Linked DNA regions of Macaca mulatta. The protein of the gene in region 1 interacts with the protein of each later gene in a pairwise test. Links are inferred from orthologs where the notes say so. Each region holds a gene or a part of one and is shown on either strand. Other genes may lie near its edges.

What was found. The genes of interacting proteins can lie anywhere in the genome.
Region 2: the proteins of RGS19 (region 1) and GNAO1 interact in a two-hybrid assay, tested with the Homo sapiens proteins (2 studies listed by BioGRID). The link is inferred for Macaca mulatta from reciprocal best matches to the Homo sapiens genes RGS19 and GNAO1.

Annotation. Positions count from the first base shown.
Region 1 is NC_133415.1:116,963,599-116,967,050, forward strand, and holds the end of RGS19 (regulator of G-protein signaling 19), read right to left. Parts: coding exon 3,399-3,452; intron 1,540-3,398; coding exon 1,465-1,539; intron 1,378-1,464; coding exon 1,143-1,377; intron 1,044-1,142; coding exon 852-1,043; 3' UTR 650-851; downstream 1-649. UniProt on the Homo sapiens protein: Inhibits signal transduction by increasing the GTPase activity of G protein alpha subunits thereby driving them into their inactive GDP-bound form. Binds to G-alpha subfamily 1 members, with the order G(i)a3 > G(i)a1 > G(o)a >> G(z)a/G(i)a2.
Region 2 is NC_133425.1:51,890,632-51,894,280, reverse strand, and holds part of GNAO1 (guanine nucleotide-binding protein G(o) subunit alpha), read right to left. Parts: intron 3,431-3,649; coding exon of another isoform or gene 3,417-3,430; intron 2,337-3,416; coding exon 2,176-2,336; intron 1-2,175. UniProt on the Homo sapiens protein: Guanine nucleotide-binding proteins (G proteins) function as transducers downstream of G protein-coupled receptors (GPCRs) in numerous signaling cascades.

The sequences.
Region 1 (3,452 bases):
CACTGGGGCCACTGTTCTGAGGCGGGCCCTGGTGGAGCCCAGGGTGTGGGAAGAAGGTGAACACACAGGCTATGTCTCCCCTCCCAAGGGGCACTGGAGCCCCTGCCCTGGCACAAGGGCACTGCTCCCCAGCCCTGAGTCTGGGGCCACTCATTCTCCAGTCTCTCCCCACACTTGGACAAAAATGAGTAGAGACTTGTGCTTTAAAAATATCTTCAATAATAAGACATCCTATTTTTGGGGGGTTAGGGATAGAGATAAATATGAAAACTTTTTTTTTGATAAAACACCTAGTAAGGATATGTTTCCAGGTTTAAAGTTCATGAACATATAAAACAGAAATTGGGTCCTGCCACCTTGAGTGCAGGATTCTGAGGTCCTACATCTGGTTCTGAGGTTCTGGGTTTGATTCTGGGGTACAGACAGCTCAAGTAGGAGGTCTCCTTATGTCATAGAACTACATGATGCAGAGGTTCTGCTCCCCACCAAGGCTTGTCCGGGGCCCGTCAGCTGCCTGGGGAAGAGGCCCCAACGAGGCTCCTGGGTCCAGCATGGCTCCTGGGGGGGCCCCTACTCTCACCATGCAAGAGCCCCCACCAGGAGCCCTGGGCCAGCCAGCTGTGGGCCGATGAGAAGGCTTCTGGCCCACCCTGCACCTGGAGTTCCTGCTTGGCCACGGGTGGGCAGAGCCAGGAGGCACAGCACTCCCCACTGGGTCTAGGACCGTCTCCACGGCTGGGGACCCCAGCCGGCCAGGCTGGGCCCGCAGGTGTGTGCCCCGACAGCCAACACCTGAAGGCAACCCAGAGTCGGCCATAGGAGGCGGTGGGGTCTGTGCTGCTGGGGGCGGCCTAGGCCTCGGAGGAGGACTGTGACGGCCCCTGCAGCAGCAGGGCACGGTAGGTGGGAGAGCTGAGAAAGCGTGGGTAGGAGTCCCGGTGCATGAGTGTGTAGATCTGCAGCTGTGCGTCGTCAAACGTGTGTGCGGACGGCTCCTGCATCTTCTTGTTGATGCCCTCCCGCACACGGGAGTCCAGGCTCACCTGTAGGACAAGGCACTGAGGTCAGGGGGCTTGGGAGGTGCCTTCCCCACCTAGTGCCCGGAGCAGGCGGCCCCCTGCCCCTTGTGGTGTCCGGCGCACCTCCTTGGGGGACAGGATGGACACGTAGTCCTCGTAGATGAGCCTCGCCTTCTCGTCCACCACGTGCTGGTTGGCCTCGGCCTTCAGCTCCTCACAGGCCAGCCAGAAGAGCATGTTCTCCTCGCTGTACTCTGTCCGCAGGAACGCCCGGAACACGCTGCGTCCCGCCGGGCTGTGCATCAGCTTGTCAAAAGACTGGGCCCAGCTCTGCACCTCCTCAGGACTTGGCGTGGCACTGCGGGCATTGGGGCCAGGCTACGTCAGGCTCAAGTCTCCCAGCCTGGGGCCCCCCAACACGCACACACCAGCCGGCTGGACTCACCATACTTCACAGCTGGGGAGGGGCTGCAGCTTGCTCTCCCGGGAGGCCTGCCACGCGCGCCGCCGCTCTTGGTTCCTAGTGGCAGAGAGGAAGCGGCACTGCCGTGGGCACACACGCCTCCATGGCCACACAGGCCCTCAGCACATGGGCAGGCATCTGACACACATGTGTACCCACTGTAGGAGGGCAGCCCCTGCAGCTAGCTCCTCCCACAATCTCCTGGGAAAGGGTGTCCATGCTCCCTGTCAGTCGTTCCCGAATTCTCCACGGAATCTGCAGTCCAGGTTACTGTCCCTGCCACAGTGCCCACGGACTCAGCCCTCTTCCATCCCAGCACCTTGACCCAGTGCCCGTGAGTCTCTGGCCCTCCAGGAGGGACCCTTTGGCTCCTGGTGCTCCTCCCCATCCCTGGCCCACTGGGCAACCTCCTCCACCCACCCATGCCCACCCCACATGAGGCTGAGAAGCAGGTATGCCACCTCCCCTTCTGCCTCTGCTCCCCTAGGGGAGATGGGTTGGGGCAAGCTGAGGGGCCACAAGGAGCTGGGAGATGCCTGAACACCTGGGATGCCAGAAGGGTCATGTGCCTGGGAACAGGGACACCCATGAGAGTGTGCCTAGGAACATGGCCACCCTGCTCCTCGGCCTGTTCTTGGCCTGTCCCTGTCCCACTGATGGGGCCACACGCTGCAGGTCTGGCATGTCAGCAGTGTGTCTCGTCAGCTGACACCACTGAAAGCCCCAAACCCATGTGTCCACACTGGTTAGGTCCTGGAGCCTGATCCCTGGTTCTCTCAAGGGAAACTGCTTCTTTGCCTTGGCTCCTAGTACCCTGTCAATGCTGGACCCAAATCCATAGCCGGCTGATCTTTCTCCAGGGCACGGCTGGCAGACATCGTGCACCCAGACGTCCTGACGGAACTAGGCCCCTGGGCTCCTCCCAGCCCCTTTCCCGACTGCCCCCTGGCCACCCCCAGCTTGCCCATGGGTCAGCTGACCCCACGTTGGGTCCAGAAGCGCTGTCCTCTCATCGGCCAGGGTCGGAAGGCATGAAAACATGCACCAGCTCCCCTACCCTCCTAGGAAATCTGTTACCATCTGGGAGCCCCACTCCCACCCTCACAGGGATGCCCAAAGACCCCCCCACCACCCTGTGCTCTTCTCCCCCGACGCATGCTGTCCGGGAAGCTCTTGGCTATCACCCCAGGGCCAGCAGTTGCCTTATTCGAGTCTCTGCTCAAACGTCCCTCCACCCCACACAGTCTGTGGGGTCTGTGCCTCTCTTTCTCTCTCTTTCTTTCTTTTATTTTGAGACAGAGTTTTGCTCTTATTGCCCAGGCTGGAATGCAATGGCGTGATCTCGGCTCATTGCAACCTCCACCTCCCAGGTTCAAGCCATTCTCCTGCCTCAGCCTCCTGAGTAGCTGGGATTACAGGCATGCGTCACCACACCCGGCTAATTTTGTATTTTTAGTAGAGACGGGGTTTCTCCATGTTGGTCAGGCTGGTTTCGAACTCCTGACCTCAGATGATCCGCCCGCCTCAGCCTCCCAAAGTGCTGGGATTACAGGCGTGAGCCACCGCGCCCGGCCTGTGCCTGTCTTACTCCATCGCAGGCCCCCAGGGCCCAGCCTGGGCTGGCTCACAGCAGCATGGATAAGCACATGCCGTGTGAACGGGCACATGCGTGTACACAGCACACCGACACACCCTTGGCAAGACAGGTACAAGAACCACACATAAGTCCCCTGGGCCCAAGGCACCGGCCACTCATCACCAGGGCCCAACAGACCCCAGACAGGACACGCCGCGAGGTGGCAGGAGCACCCTACCTGCGGGGATTCCTCAGAAGCCACCACTGGGTCCCCTCCTGGGTCTGCTTGGCCCCAGGCCCTCCAGCCCCTCTCCAGCTGGGCACCCCAGGCCCTACTCACCAGGAGCAGCTACAGCAGCAGCACCAGCATAGGCAGCAGGGGTTACGGCTGGGG
Region 2 (3,649 bases), on another chromosome or scaffold:
AAGTTTTTCTGGATGCCACTGGGACAAATAAATGGAAGTGGGTAAAAGTGGGAGGGGCAGGGCTGGTGAGGGGAGTAGGAAGAAGATTGCTTCTCATTTTATATGCCTCTGCATTTGTTTAAATTTTTTTTTTTTTTGTAATGGATTCATGTTATAATTAGTGAAATGAGTAAAAATGTAAGTGGAGAGCAGGATTTGGTGAGCCACTAGAAGGCAGATTTGGGCCAGCTGGCCCTAAAGGCCCCTGAGGGTCTTGCTGACTCTTGGGGAGGAGGCAGGGCAGGGACAAGGAGTGGGAGAAGGGAGGAGGGCAGCTGAAAGTCACTCTCTCCTGCCTGGCTCTGGTCTGTGATTTGAGCATACGGAATGGTGGACACTGAGCTTCTGGGCTCACTGCCCTGACCCCCAGGGTGTCCCTGGGAGCTTATCAGGCCCAGGGACCTAGGTAGTCATCACCTGGAACTCACAGGACTTTGGCATTTGCCCTGTGGTCAATCTAGGTGTGCAGAAATGGGAAGCTGCTCCTGGTCTTGCTCAAGCCCCTAGTCTGTTGGCTGCCATGTGGCCTGTGGAAATGTCCAGGAGTGAACATTGGCCTCAGCCATTGTCTGTTGGCACTGCGTAGATCCGGGTTTCTTAATCTTGGCACTATGGATGTCTGGGGCCATGCAACTCTTTGTTGTGGGGGCCATCCTGCACACTGTGGGATGTTTAACTGCATCTCTGGCCTCTACCTGCTAGATGCTGGGAGCACCACTCTAGCTGCCGGGAGCACCACTTTAGCTGCCGGGAGAACCACTCTAGCTGCAGCCATCAAAAATGTCCCCAGATGTTGCTGAATGTCCCCTGGAGGCAAATTGGCCCCAGCTGAGAAGACCTGGTGAAAATGGCTGGACTGGATCATGTCAGAGTCTTCCCAGCCAGTGGGGTAAAGCGCAGAGGCTCCTTGCAGAAAGTCCCCACTGAATGTATGGGTCCCAGATTGCAATTGCAAAAGTGGGGTGTGTTTCCCAAAAGCCAAGGGGGCAATCCCAGTGTCTCCATGACAGAAGACATGTCCCTGACCGACACTGACCATCCCCGGGCTCTGGAGCCTCCAATCTAGGGCCAAGGGCACGGAAGCAGTGAGGATTTCCTTGGAGATGCCTAGAGTGATAAAGCTGCAGCCAATGGACCTGTGACCTGCGGTCATGGGAAGAGCCGGGAGCACCTTCTAACCAGCTCCGGCTTTTACCATTTCCCACTTCTCCATCTTCTCTTCTCTCCTCTTCTTTCTCCCTCTGTCCCCTTCCTTTCCTCCTTCCATCCTCCTGCCCTCCTGTCATCTCCCTTATTTAGTTATAACAGAGTATTAAAGTATACATTTATTATATTAATTAGACCTACATATTCCTTATTTATTTATTTATTTATTTATTTATTTATCTGAGACGGAGTCTCACTCTGTCGCCCAGGCTGGAGTGAAGTGGCCAGATCTCAGCTCACTGCAAGCTCTGCCTCCCGGGTTTACGCCATTCTCCTGCCTCAGCCTCCCGAGTAGCTGGGACTACAGGCGCCTGCCACCTCGCCCGGCTAGTTTTTTGTATTTTTAGTAGAGACAGGGTTTCACCGTGTTAGCCAGGATGGTTTCTATCTCCTGACCTCGTGATCCACCTGTCTTGGCCTCCCAAAGTGCTGGGATTACAGGCTTGAGCCACCGCGCCTGGCCCTTATTTTTAATTTTGAAGATAAGGGAATGGAAAACTTATTATTTTCTCTAAAATAAAACAAAATGGCACCATTTATTTTCTCCCTGTATGGCTGTTGGTTTGGTTTGTATTTCTGGGGTCAGGGGCTCCCCATGAAAAACCAAAGCTGCTACACTTGAAAGCCGTCTTTTTGCAATGCCAGGCACTCCTTGGGACAGGCCAGTGACAAGGTCCCGCCCTCTGGGAATTTCCACTGTGTGGTTGTCTCTTGTGTCCTCTGCCTTCTCTGGCCTCTTCCTTCTCCTAGGGGGGGCAGGAAGAGAGGCCCCTTCTCATTCCTTCCTGACACCCCCCACCTGTAGTAGAACATCTCCCGGCAGGCATGACCTCAGACGAGAATCCTTGCTCTGCCAATCCCCATCGCCAGTCCCCTTCCACTCCCGCATCACTGCCCGGCTCCAGACTGTGCGCCCGCCGGGACACTCACTATTTGGCAGAGTCGTTGAGCTGATACTCCCGGGACCGGTTGAAGCACTCTTGGATTCCTGAGTCGCCCCAGAGCCGCATCATGGCAGAAAGCAGCTCTGCAGAGAAGGGCTCGGTGTCTTCCATCCGACTCACCACGTCGCACACCATCTTGGCGTCAGCCTGTAAGGAGAGGTGGATGGTGGGCTTTGAGACTTCGGTGGGGACAGAAGACCCCTGCCAGCCAAGGGCTCTCCCCTGGCTGGGACTGTGATGAGGGCCCAGCCAGGGTGGCAGGACCACGGCTCAGCTCACAGCCTGCTCTGGGCAGGGCCACGACCTGAGCATGCACAGTCGGGGTTCATGGGGCCTGTGGGGCCTTCTACCACATGGACATCCTAAAGCAAGAGCTCCAAGCCACAGCCCATGGGGCCCCAGAGTTTTCCGGGGCAGGAAGGGAGAGTGGGCTGGGCTCTGTTCTCCACCCTCCAACTCAACCAGCAGCTCTGCTTTCATCCTGAAAACACAGTTATTTTGTTTGGGGGAGAAAAAAAAATCAATGTTCTTTGCTGAGTTGTAATTTTCTACACTTCTTACGCAGGCTGGAATGGAGTCCTTAGAACTGGGCTATGTGGAGGAGCAGGTGTTTCGGTGGAGAATTCTGGTTCGCTGAGGGATGGGCCACAGGGGGGGCTGTGCCTCAGGACTGGGGGAGGGGAGGGGCTGGTTGCCAAGTGAGTGCAGATGGCAAAAATATCTCATGCCAACATTAAATCTCAAGAACTTTGGTCCTTGGATTGCTCAAAGTCAAAGGCCATTTTATTAATTTTTCTTGATTTGTTTGTGACCTGGGGCCTACCTTTCTCTGGGGGCAGGGGAAGCCCCTAGGTCAGGTGAAACATGGGAATGGGAAAGGACAGGTAATGAGCTTGGAGCGCTCTCCTCCTCTGCCTCCTCCCTTCCTCCTTGTCTGAGTGGGTGTAGCTGAATTTGCTTAAGGTGCACAAGTGTAGGCTGAGCCTTCTTGAAATTACAGAAAAAGTACTGCATAATTAACAGGATTCTTCCCCTTCCCCTCATCCTGAATATCAAAGTAGGGTCACCTGTTTTCAAAGACTACAATCACATGCATGTAACATCACAATCAGGCGTGTGGTGTCTTTGAAGACAAGAAGGCTCCTGGAGACATCCCAGGACGGCACTGTCACTGCCACCTTGCACACGGGAGTAGTACTTAGTGTACAAAGGATTTGGTGGACACACTCCGTCCTCAGAACCTCCCCCACCTCAAGAGCGAGTGGCAGGAGCTGTGTCATTGGGCCTTTCACCCCTCCTCTGCCCACACCCGTTGTCCTGTGCCTCTTCAGCTCCTCCTGCTAAAGGCACTGTACATTTCCTGTCTGCTTGATGTTGAGTATGGCACAGGACTTGCCACGGTCCACAGAATGGTGCAGGAGTGGCACTGTGCCAGCTCCTTGAGAGGCCATTTTCCTGCT